2 linked regions of the Xenopus tropicalis genome follow. The protein of the gene in region 2 interacts with the protein of the main gene of each other region in a pairwise test. Links are inferred from orthologs where the notes say so. Each region holds a gene or a part of one and is shown on either strand. Other genes may lie near its edges.

What was found. The genes of interacting proteins can lie anywhere in the genome.
Region 1: the proteins of nr4a1 (region 2) and prdx4 interact in a two-hybrid assay, tested with the Homo sapiens proteins (2 studies listed by BioGRID and IntAct). The link is inferred for Xenopus tropicalis from reciprocal best matches to the Homo sapiens genes NR4A1 and PRDX4.

What each region holds. Positions count from the first base shown.
Region 1 is NC_030678.2:41,365,649-41,369,402, reverse strand, and holds the start of prdx4 (peroxiredoxin-4 precursor), read right to left. Parts: upstream 2,819-3,754; 5' UTR 2,746-2,818; coding exon 2,505-2,745; intron 1,322-2,504; coding exon 1,204-1,321; intron 1-1,203. UniProt on the Homo sapiens protein: Thiol-specific peroxidase that catalyzes the reduction of hydrogen peroxide and organic hydroperoxides to water and alcohols, respectively.
Region 2 is NC_030678.2:135,308,866-135,312,619, forward strand, and holds the start of nr4a1 (nuclear receptor subfamily 4 group A member 1), read left to right. Parts: upstream 1-1,474; 5' UTR 1,475-1,636; coding exon of another isoform or gene 1,637-1,655; intron 1,656-3,754. UniProt on the Homo sapiens protein: Orphan nuclear receptor. Binds the NGFI-B response element (NBRE) 5'-AAAGGTCA-3'. Binds 9-cis-retinoic acid outside of its ligand-binding (NR LBD) domain.

The DNA.
Region 1 (3,754 bases), about 94 Mb from region 2:
GCAAGGCCTGTATGGAGAAATCTGTATCCTTCTCTGTACAGCAGAGCTATGGCCTTCCAGTTACAGCCAGAAGTTGGAGGAAAGGATGTGAGAGTGAGATGTATGCATATTATATGTGAAATATAATACAGCAGTGTCCCTGTCACCCAATTGCCCTGTTATAAAAGTTACTACACAAAAAAAGAGGGAATTTATGTATTTATGCCTAAATCTTTGAAAATAATAAACATGCAGGGGGACATGGGTATTTTTCAAAGGGATAGTATACATTTATTGGTTAAAATTGTTTTGTTTTAATAAAGTTGATACAAATCTAACTGCTGGAATTCCCAATTTAACATTTGATCAGTCAACTCCAGGATAACATTTCTGCTGTCCATAAGCACCAATATACAAAATTGTTTTTTAGTTATATGGGGAAATGTAAGTTATCCTATAGAAGCTGGCAGTGCAGTGAAGCTTTATATTCTATTATATATATGTATCAGATCCTCACAGTAAATGATTAACAGTTTTGAAGCACAGCTGTAATTATTCACACACTGCACAACAGAATGCACGTAGGGCTTGATTTTATTCAACACAGTATATTATATATTTATTTCAAAGAACTAAAACTCAAAATTTTTATATAAGATTGCACAGACAAAAATGACAGGATTTGACCATGGTGTTTGTGTGATTACAGAAGGATACAGGAAAAAAATCAAAGGTTACTCCCAGACAGTTGCTGGGTCAGCAGGGTTAATGCATGCTATCAGTAGAAACAGAAATGGGGACATATAGCCAGGGGCAGACAGAAAGCTGATCCATTCAGTTTTGGATTAGTTCAGACTGAGATGGTGCTCTGTGGAACGGTTAGGATTTTGGCAGACTGGGTTGGGGTTTGGGCAGAATGGGAGCTAGCCTTTCAGGTGTGAGGAACGGTTTTCTGTGGTTGGTTGTTTGCAGTGGTTGGGTGTTGGCTGAAAGTACACTGCAGGTAAACAGTGTATAGGTGAAAGAGAAGGAAGGTATACAGAGGGTGAAGTGGGGTTTCTGGTAGGGCCAGTTACCCCAGTCCATCACTGGCAGGCCCCACTACTTCATACAGCAACCACGATAGGTCAAGAAAGATTAGAAGTGACCACTGGATTTAGCAATGCTGAGTAAATATGCAAAATACAAACAAAAATAAAAGGAGCAGATGAACATTATACTCACAAATCAAGAGGATAAAAAAAGAACACCAGATATTTCCCTTTATAATCTGTAAGTTTCAACTCTTTGAACTCTCCATTTATCACTGCTGTTCCTTCCCAGTATGGCGCAGGCTTGGAAACTACAGAAACGCAGAGACAAAACAGCAATTAGATATACTCATTTTTATTAGGGAGGAACTATAATGAAAATAAACATTTAATGCAAGAAACTTGCAAGTGCAAACATTTAAAAATTCTGCAAGTTTCTGAAATATTGAGAGACTCTTTACTACCCTCCACCCCACCCCATGCAGTCTGTCTGTACTTCCACATGCAGTCTTTTTCTTTATTGGCAGCTTATATAGATCATTGGCCTATGCTGCCTTTGGCTATCACTTGCCCATGCTAAATAAATCTGGAGCTTTCCCACTTCTAACTTGCACTGATTCAGTGTCGGACTGGCCCACCAGGATACCAGGAAAACTCCCGGTGGGCCCAGGTGTCAGTGGGCCCTCCTGCTCCTGAACATATGAGCTGCCTCATGGCCATTTTCTATTTCTGAATGGGAACAAAGAGGAGAAATAGATGGAAGAATAGATGCTAGCATGTAAATAAAAGAGACTAGGAGAATAAAGAGGAAAGGAGGAAAAATAGTTTGGAGAGTGGGCATTTGGTCTAAGGTTTTTCTGGTGGGCCCCTGAGGTCCCAGTCCGACACTGCACTGATTGCATTTGAGCAAACCGGCACTAAGTCTGCATTGTAGCGCAACAGAGGTGAAATAAGGAAATGGAGGGAGTCAAGATTAACTTGATTATTCCTGCATTGGGGGGGGAAGAAATGAAATGATTTCTGCAGTACACTGCCAGTCAGCTGTGTGTGTACTCTGGAGTTAGCTCAGCAACAGCTGGAGGGCTGCAAGTAAGGTAATCATTGGCAAATATAAGGGTTCCCACCCAGGGGGGCCCTCTGATAGTAGGACTGGACATTTGCCCATGCTTGTTCCTAGCAATTCTATAATAAGGCAGATGCACAAGCAGTGTGACAGGATCCAGCTGCATGCAGCCACAGCGACCAATAGGATTTGACTTACGTGTCCTTAGCCAATGGTATGTGCTACACAAAGCGCAGAGACTTTTGGCAGAGATGCAAAAGAAAAGCAGTGCCCCCCCTCACTGGGCAATACCCAGCAATACCCCGGTGTAATGCCAGCTTGCCAACCCACAGCATTGCCTACAACAAAGTCACTCGCTATCCCTTGGCCTGTGTCTCTGCGAGAGAATCGCTGGAAGGGCGGGAAGCAGCTTTGGGAGAACAATGACCCACTTTTTGCTTTGCTGAGGTGCAGAGAATGATCGGACACCGGCACACGGGTCGCCTCTCCGGGGTACACCTGTCCCCCTGCGTAGAAGTGACACTCTCCATCCGGGGCAGCGCGGCCAGGCCGGCCTTGAGGCTGCTCCTTCTCCTCCTGGGGCTCACAGGTGACAGCGGCGGCTGACAGCAAGAGAAGACACAGGCCGAGCACAGGGCTTCCCCTCAGGTAATGCCGGAGCAGCACAGCCATGATTGCACATACACAAGCTGAAGCGGCAAGCAGCACTCACAGATCCGGGAAGACAGACGTGCATGGAAATCCAGGAGGAGCAAGCATAAGGGCCGGCCCACAAGGCGTGGCTTAAACGTTAACTCTTTATAGTGCTGTCACTTATCTGTTATCAAAAGCAAAGTCATTAAACATTCAGAAAAAAAACAACTCTTTCAGTCCGTTTACACGAAATTGAACCAAATTTTCAATTTCTTTTACAATCTGCGTAAGACACCAGAATTTCTATTTTCGCCTGAGACGGGAGAGCAAAGAATCATGGGAGGTAGCCTTCTCTCGCGATATCATTTCCCCTCCTGCAGTGTTTGGTATGAGCGGGACAAGAGAGATTGCTGGAGAGGGAGAGATTACTTGGCAGTGTTTATAGGGGGGCGAAGTAGTAGGGAATAAATGGATCTGATAAAGCTGCCGCTTTCTGCAAAGAAGAGTCGTGTTACAGAGCTTCCATGCCCCTCATTCATGCAAAATAAATAAAATAGCTGATGTTATTCTATAATAAGTAGTATATATAAAGAGTTCCATTGATTAACGTAATTCAGTTTATAGGGGGTCAGTAGAGTTCCCTAAGTTAAACCCCCTCCCACCTACCTGCCCCTGCTCTGTGCTGTCATTGTTTGATATGGAACTGTGTAAGTTTAGGGGCCCAGTGATCTCACTGTGGGGCCCAGTAACCAGTCCTGTTCAGTAACTACTGAAAAGTTCATGTAGGAGGTACATTCATATAATGAAGTAGATAGATATCAATATAAAGTGCTAATTGGGGGGCAGTGGAATTTAACTTGTATTTTTAATTCATTGGTCAGCGGTGTTTAGTAGCTGTGAAAAAAAAGCTGCTACTAGTAGCTCCGTGTGTCTTCAGCCTTAAAGATTATAATCTCAATGATTAAAACTCCAGCCAATGCCAGCATGTGAATTACACACAAGCACATGATTAAAATAAAAGGAGGAATTAAAATAGAAAAAAAAGTGA
Region 2 (3,754 bases):
TATGGGTGTCACTATAAACACTGTAGGGCCACAGTATGGGTGTCACTATAAACACAGTAGGGCCACAGTATGGGTGTCACTATAAACACAGTAGGGCCACAGTATGGGTGTCACTATAAACACTGTAGGGCCACAGTATGGGTTTGACTATAAACACAGTAGGGCCACAGTATGGGTGTCACTATAAACACTGTAGGGCCACAGTATGGGTGTCACTATAAACACAGTAGGGCCACAGTATGGGTGTCTATAAACACTGTAGGGCCACAGTAACCACAGTATGGGTGTCACTATAAACACTAGGGCCACAGTATGGGTGTCGCTATAGACACTGTAGGCCACAGACACTGTAGGGCCACAGTATGGGTGTCGCTATAGACACAGTAGGGCCACAGTATGGGTGTCGCTATAGACACAGTAGGGCCACAGTATGGGTGTCGCTATAGACACAGTAGGGCCACAGTATGGGTGTCGCTATAGACACAGTAGGGCCACAGTATGGGTGTCGCTATAGACACAGTAGGGCCACAGTATGGGTGTCGCTATAGACACAGTAGGGCCACAGTATGGGTGTCGCTATAGACACAGTAGGGCCACAGTATGGGTGTCGCTATAGACACAGTAGGGCCACAGTATGGGTGTCGCTATAGACACAGTAGGGCCACAGTATGGGTGTCGCTATAGACACAGTAGGGCCACAGTATGGGTGTCGCTATAGACACAGTAGGGCCACAGTATGGGTGTCGCTATAGACACTGTAGGGCCACAGTATGGGTGTCGCTATAGACACTGTAGGGCCACAGTATGGGTGTCGCTATAGACACTGTAGGGCCACAGTATGGGTGTCGCTATAGACACTGTAGGGCCACAGTATGGGTGTCGCTATAGACACTGTAGGGCCACAGTATGGGTGTCACTATAGACACAGTAGGGCCACAGTATGGGTGTCACTATAGACACAGTAGGGCCACAGTATGTCGCGTTAGGAATAAGCCGTTACATCACAGACACATAATACAGGGCGAGACCTGGCCGCCACCTTTCCATAACCTAAGTGCCCATGGAATCCTTTCAGCGGTAAATATGAAGAGAATCCCCGGGAACCCTCGTACCCTGGGCTATATCCGACTACTGGTGACGTCCTTGCGCGGTGTCCCCCCCCGTCTGCTGACTACTATTTCAGGGTCGGAGCTATTTTTAGTGCGTGGGGCCCTATTAATAGATCAAACAATGTTGTCTGCGTCATAGGAAACAGCCTGCGTCACACAGATACATTCCAGGAGCACGCTGCCTGTCTGCTACCGGAAAAGCCACGCCCCCCGTGTCCTTCTATGGGGGACGGAGCAGGATCACCCTTGTGCGTCACACACCCCCTCTGACAGGGCCCCGCCCATGTGCGTCACGGAGGCTTTAATAACATGTAGATGCAGGACTGAATCCCAGTGAGCTTGGAGACAGCGACAGCACAGTAACCCATTCCTCTCACTGGCACCGTGCAACACGCTGACCCCAGCGGACAGCCCGTACCGGGGACTTACAGCTGGGAGATCTGGTATGTCAGCTTAGCTTGCCATTCCAATCACAAGGTGCCACAGGGGTTAATAGCTATCTAGATACATCCCTTTGGGAGGTAGACATGCATGCAAGGGGGACAGGTAATTATTTGCAGATTATGTTATTATCATTTTCTATGTATGTGAGTGTATGGCTCCTGCTGGCTGTGTGGGGATCTTTGCATAGACTGCATGGGGTGTGCATTGCTTGCACCGTGTCAGTAGGGCATTGAGATGCCTGTTTCTAGGTTAGTGGGCATCACCTGCACAATTACTCCTTTTCCCCAGGAGATGGCTTTGGGGAGACTGCTTGTACAGGCTGAGGCTGAGAGGAGCCTCTGTGCATTGGGGAGGTTCGATGGCAGCTCTGGCTGCTTTGTACAGCAACAGGTGCAGAGGCTCTCTGCTTTGTATCTCTGCTTTGTATCTCTGCTTTGTACTTCCCTTAGCGGAGACCTGTTCATAATGTGCTCATAGCAATGCACTCTCTGCACACACCTATATGGTGTCCCTCTCTATACATAATAAGTCATGTATTAGTGATATATCCTGCAAACAATATGATATGCATGCTTCTGATCATCAAGATGTATAGATCTTTCCTGTGCTCTGTTGCCCCAGTGTGCACCCTCAAATATAGACCTGAGCTGCAGATTAGGGCAGCCAAGCAGTAGCCCCTTTAGCTGCTGTGCAACTGCAACTCCCACAGACCCTTGACAGTAATTGTTTGCAACTACCCCTTGCTGGGAGTTGTAATCCTGGAATAGCTAGAGGGCTGCCAGTGGGACGTAGCACTGGATTTTTGCTTGGCCTTTTTCATCCTGGTCATGTTGCTTTCCTTATGAAATGTGTTTCATTTGCACAACCTAGGCTCCTTAATGGTTTCTGTTTTTAACCCTTGTTTTGTTGCTTCCATCAAATTTTGCAGTCAGCAGCCATTTCATATATATATATATATATATATATATATATATATATATATATATATACTCTCCCATCAGCTTGCTGTTATATATAAGGATATGCACGCTAAGAAAGTCCAGAAGTATAAAGATCTAATCTTTTTTTTTTTCTTACTGTAAATGAGAAACTCAGATACATTAAAGGGAGGGTTGACCTTTCTGGGACAAATGGGCTGCAGTGCTTTTGTGTTCTTGTGCAAAGTGCTTTCTTGGCTCTCTGCAGTTCCCTATCTCTTCGTACTGGTTGCATTTCCCGTGGGGAAGTCTCTAACCTATAAGGCTTCTAAAACAGTCTTGTTGTGTTGGATCAATATGGCCTTTGTCGACAGCTAAACAACAAATCGGCAGGCCTCCCTCTAGTGCACCTCACAGGGGGAAACAAGTGTTGACCATCCATTGAAAACAATGATGATGGGAGATGGCTCTGAGCTATAGATAAAACAATTTCTTATTTTGTGAAAGCAGCAGCCCCATTCTGAATATTAGTTTTATAAAACATAAAGATTGTTACAGAATTGCACTAAACATATGTTTTGCTTCAAATTACTTTCTGATCTACAGTCCTTTCTGCAATTAAAGGCTTCTGAAGCAAGCCGCCAATTTGTCTTTGGGCAAGTACAGTTTGCTGTATCATAGGAATCACTTGACTTCTATGACACAAGTCAGTGCAGATAATCATGGGAAGCTGAGCTGTCAATCGACACCCTGCTTATTGGAGTGACATACTGTCATGGGGTGTGAACTTCAAGAAGTTGGATGGCAAGTTTCAGCTTTTCTTCCAAAGGATTTCTGTAGACGCTTAAATATTTTAATTCAACAGGTTTTCTGCCAGAACCTAGCAGTTTTTACACATACAGGCTAAAATGTGGTAGAATTAGTACGTATCTTTCAGATACACTGTTATATACAAAAGCTGGTACAGGTGTGGGACCTATTATCCAGAATGTTTGGGACCTGGGGATTTCCAGATCTTTCCATAATTTTGTTCTCTATACCTCAAAAATTGCTATTATTTAAACTACTATTATTTAAATGTGAATTAAACCCAATAGGATTGTTTTGCCTCCAATTACGTCTTAGTTTGTAAGTACAAGGTAATATTGAGTTTGCATCTTAAGGAAAAGTATAATACACTTGTTGTTTGTTTGAGCATATATATTGAAATATAGGTAAAATGCTCCTCAGTCAGTGCCACGGGGCCTCCTAAACCTCCTAGCCCCCACCCTCCAGCACTGCCTG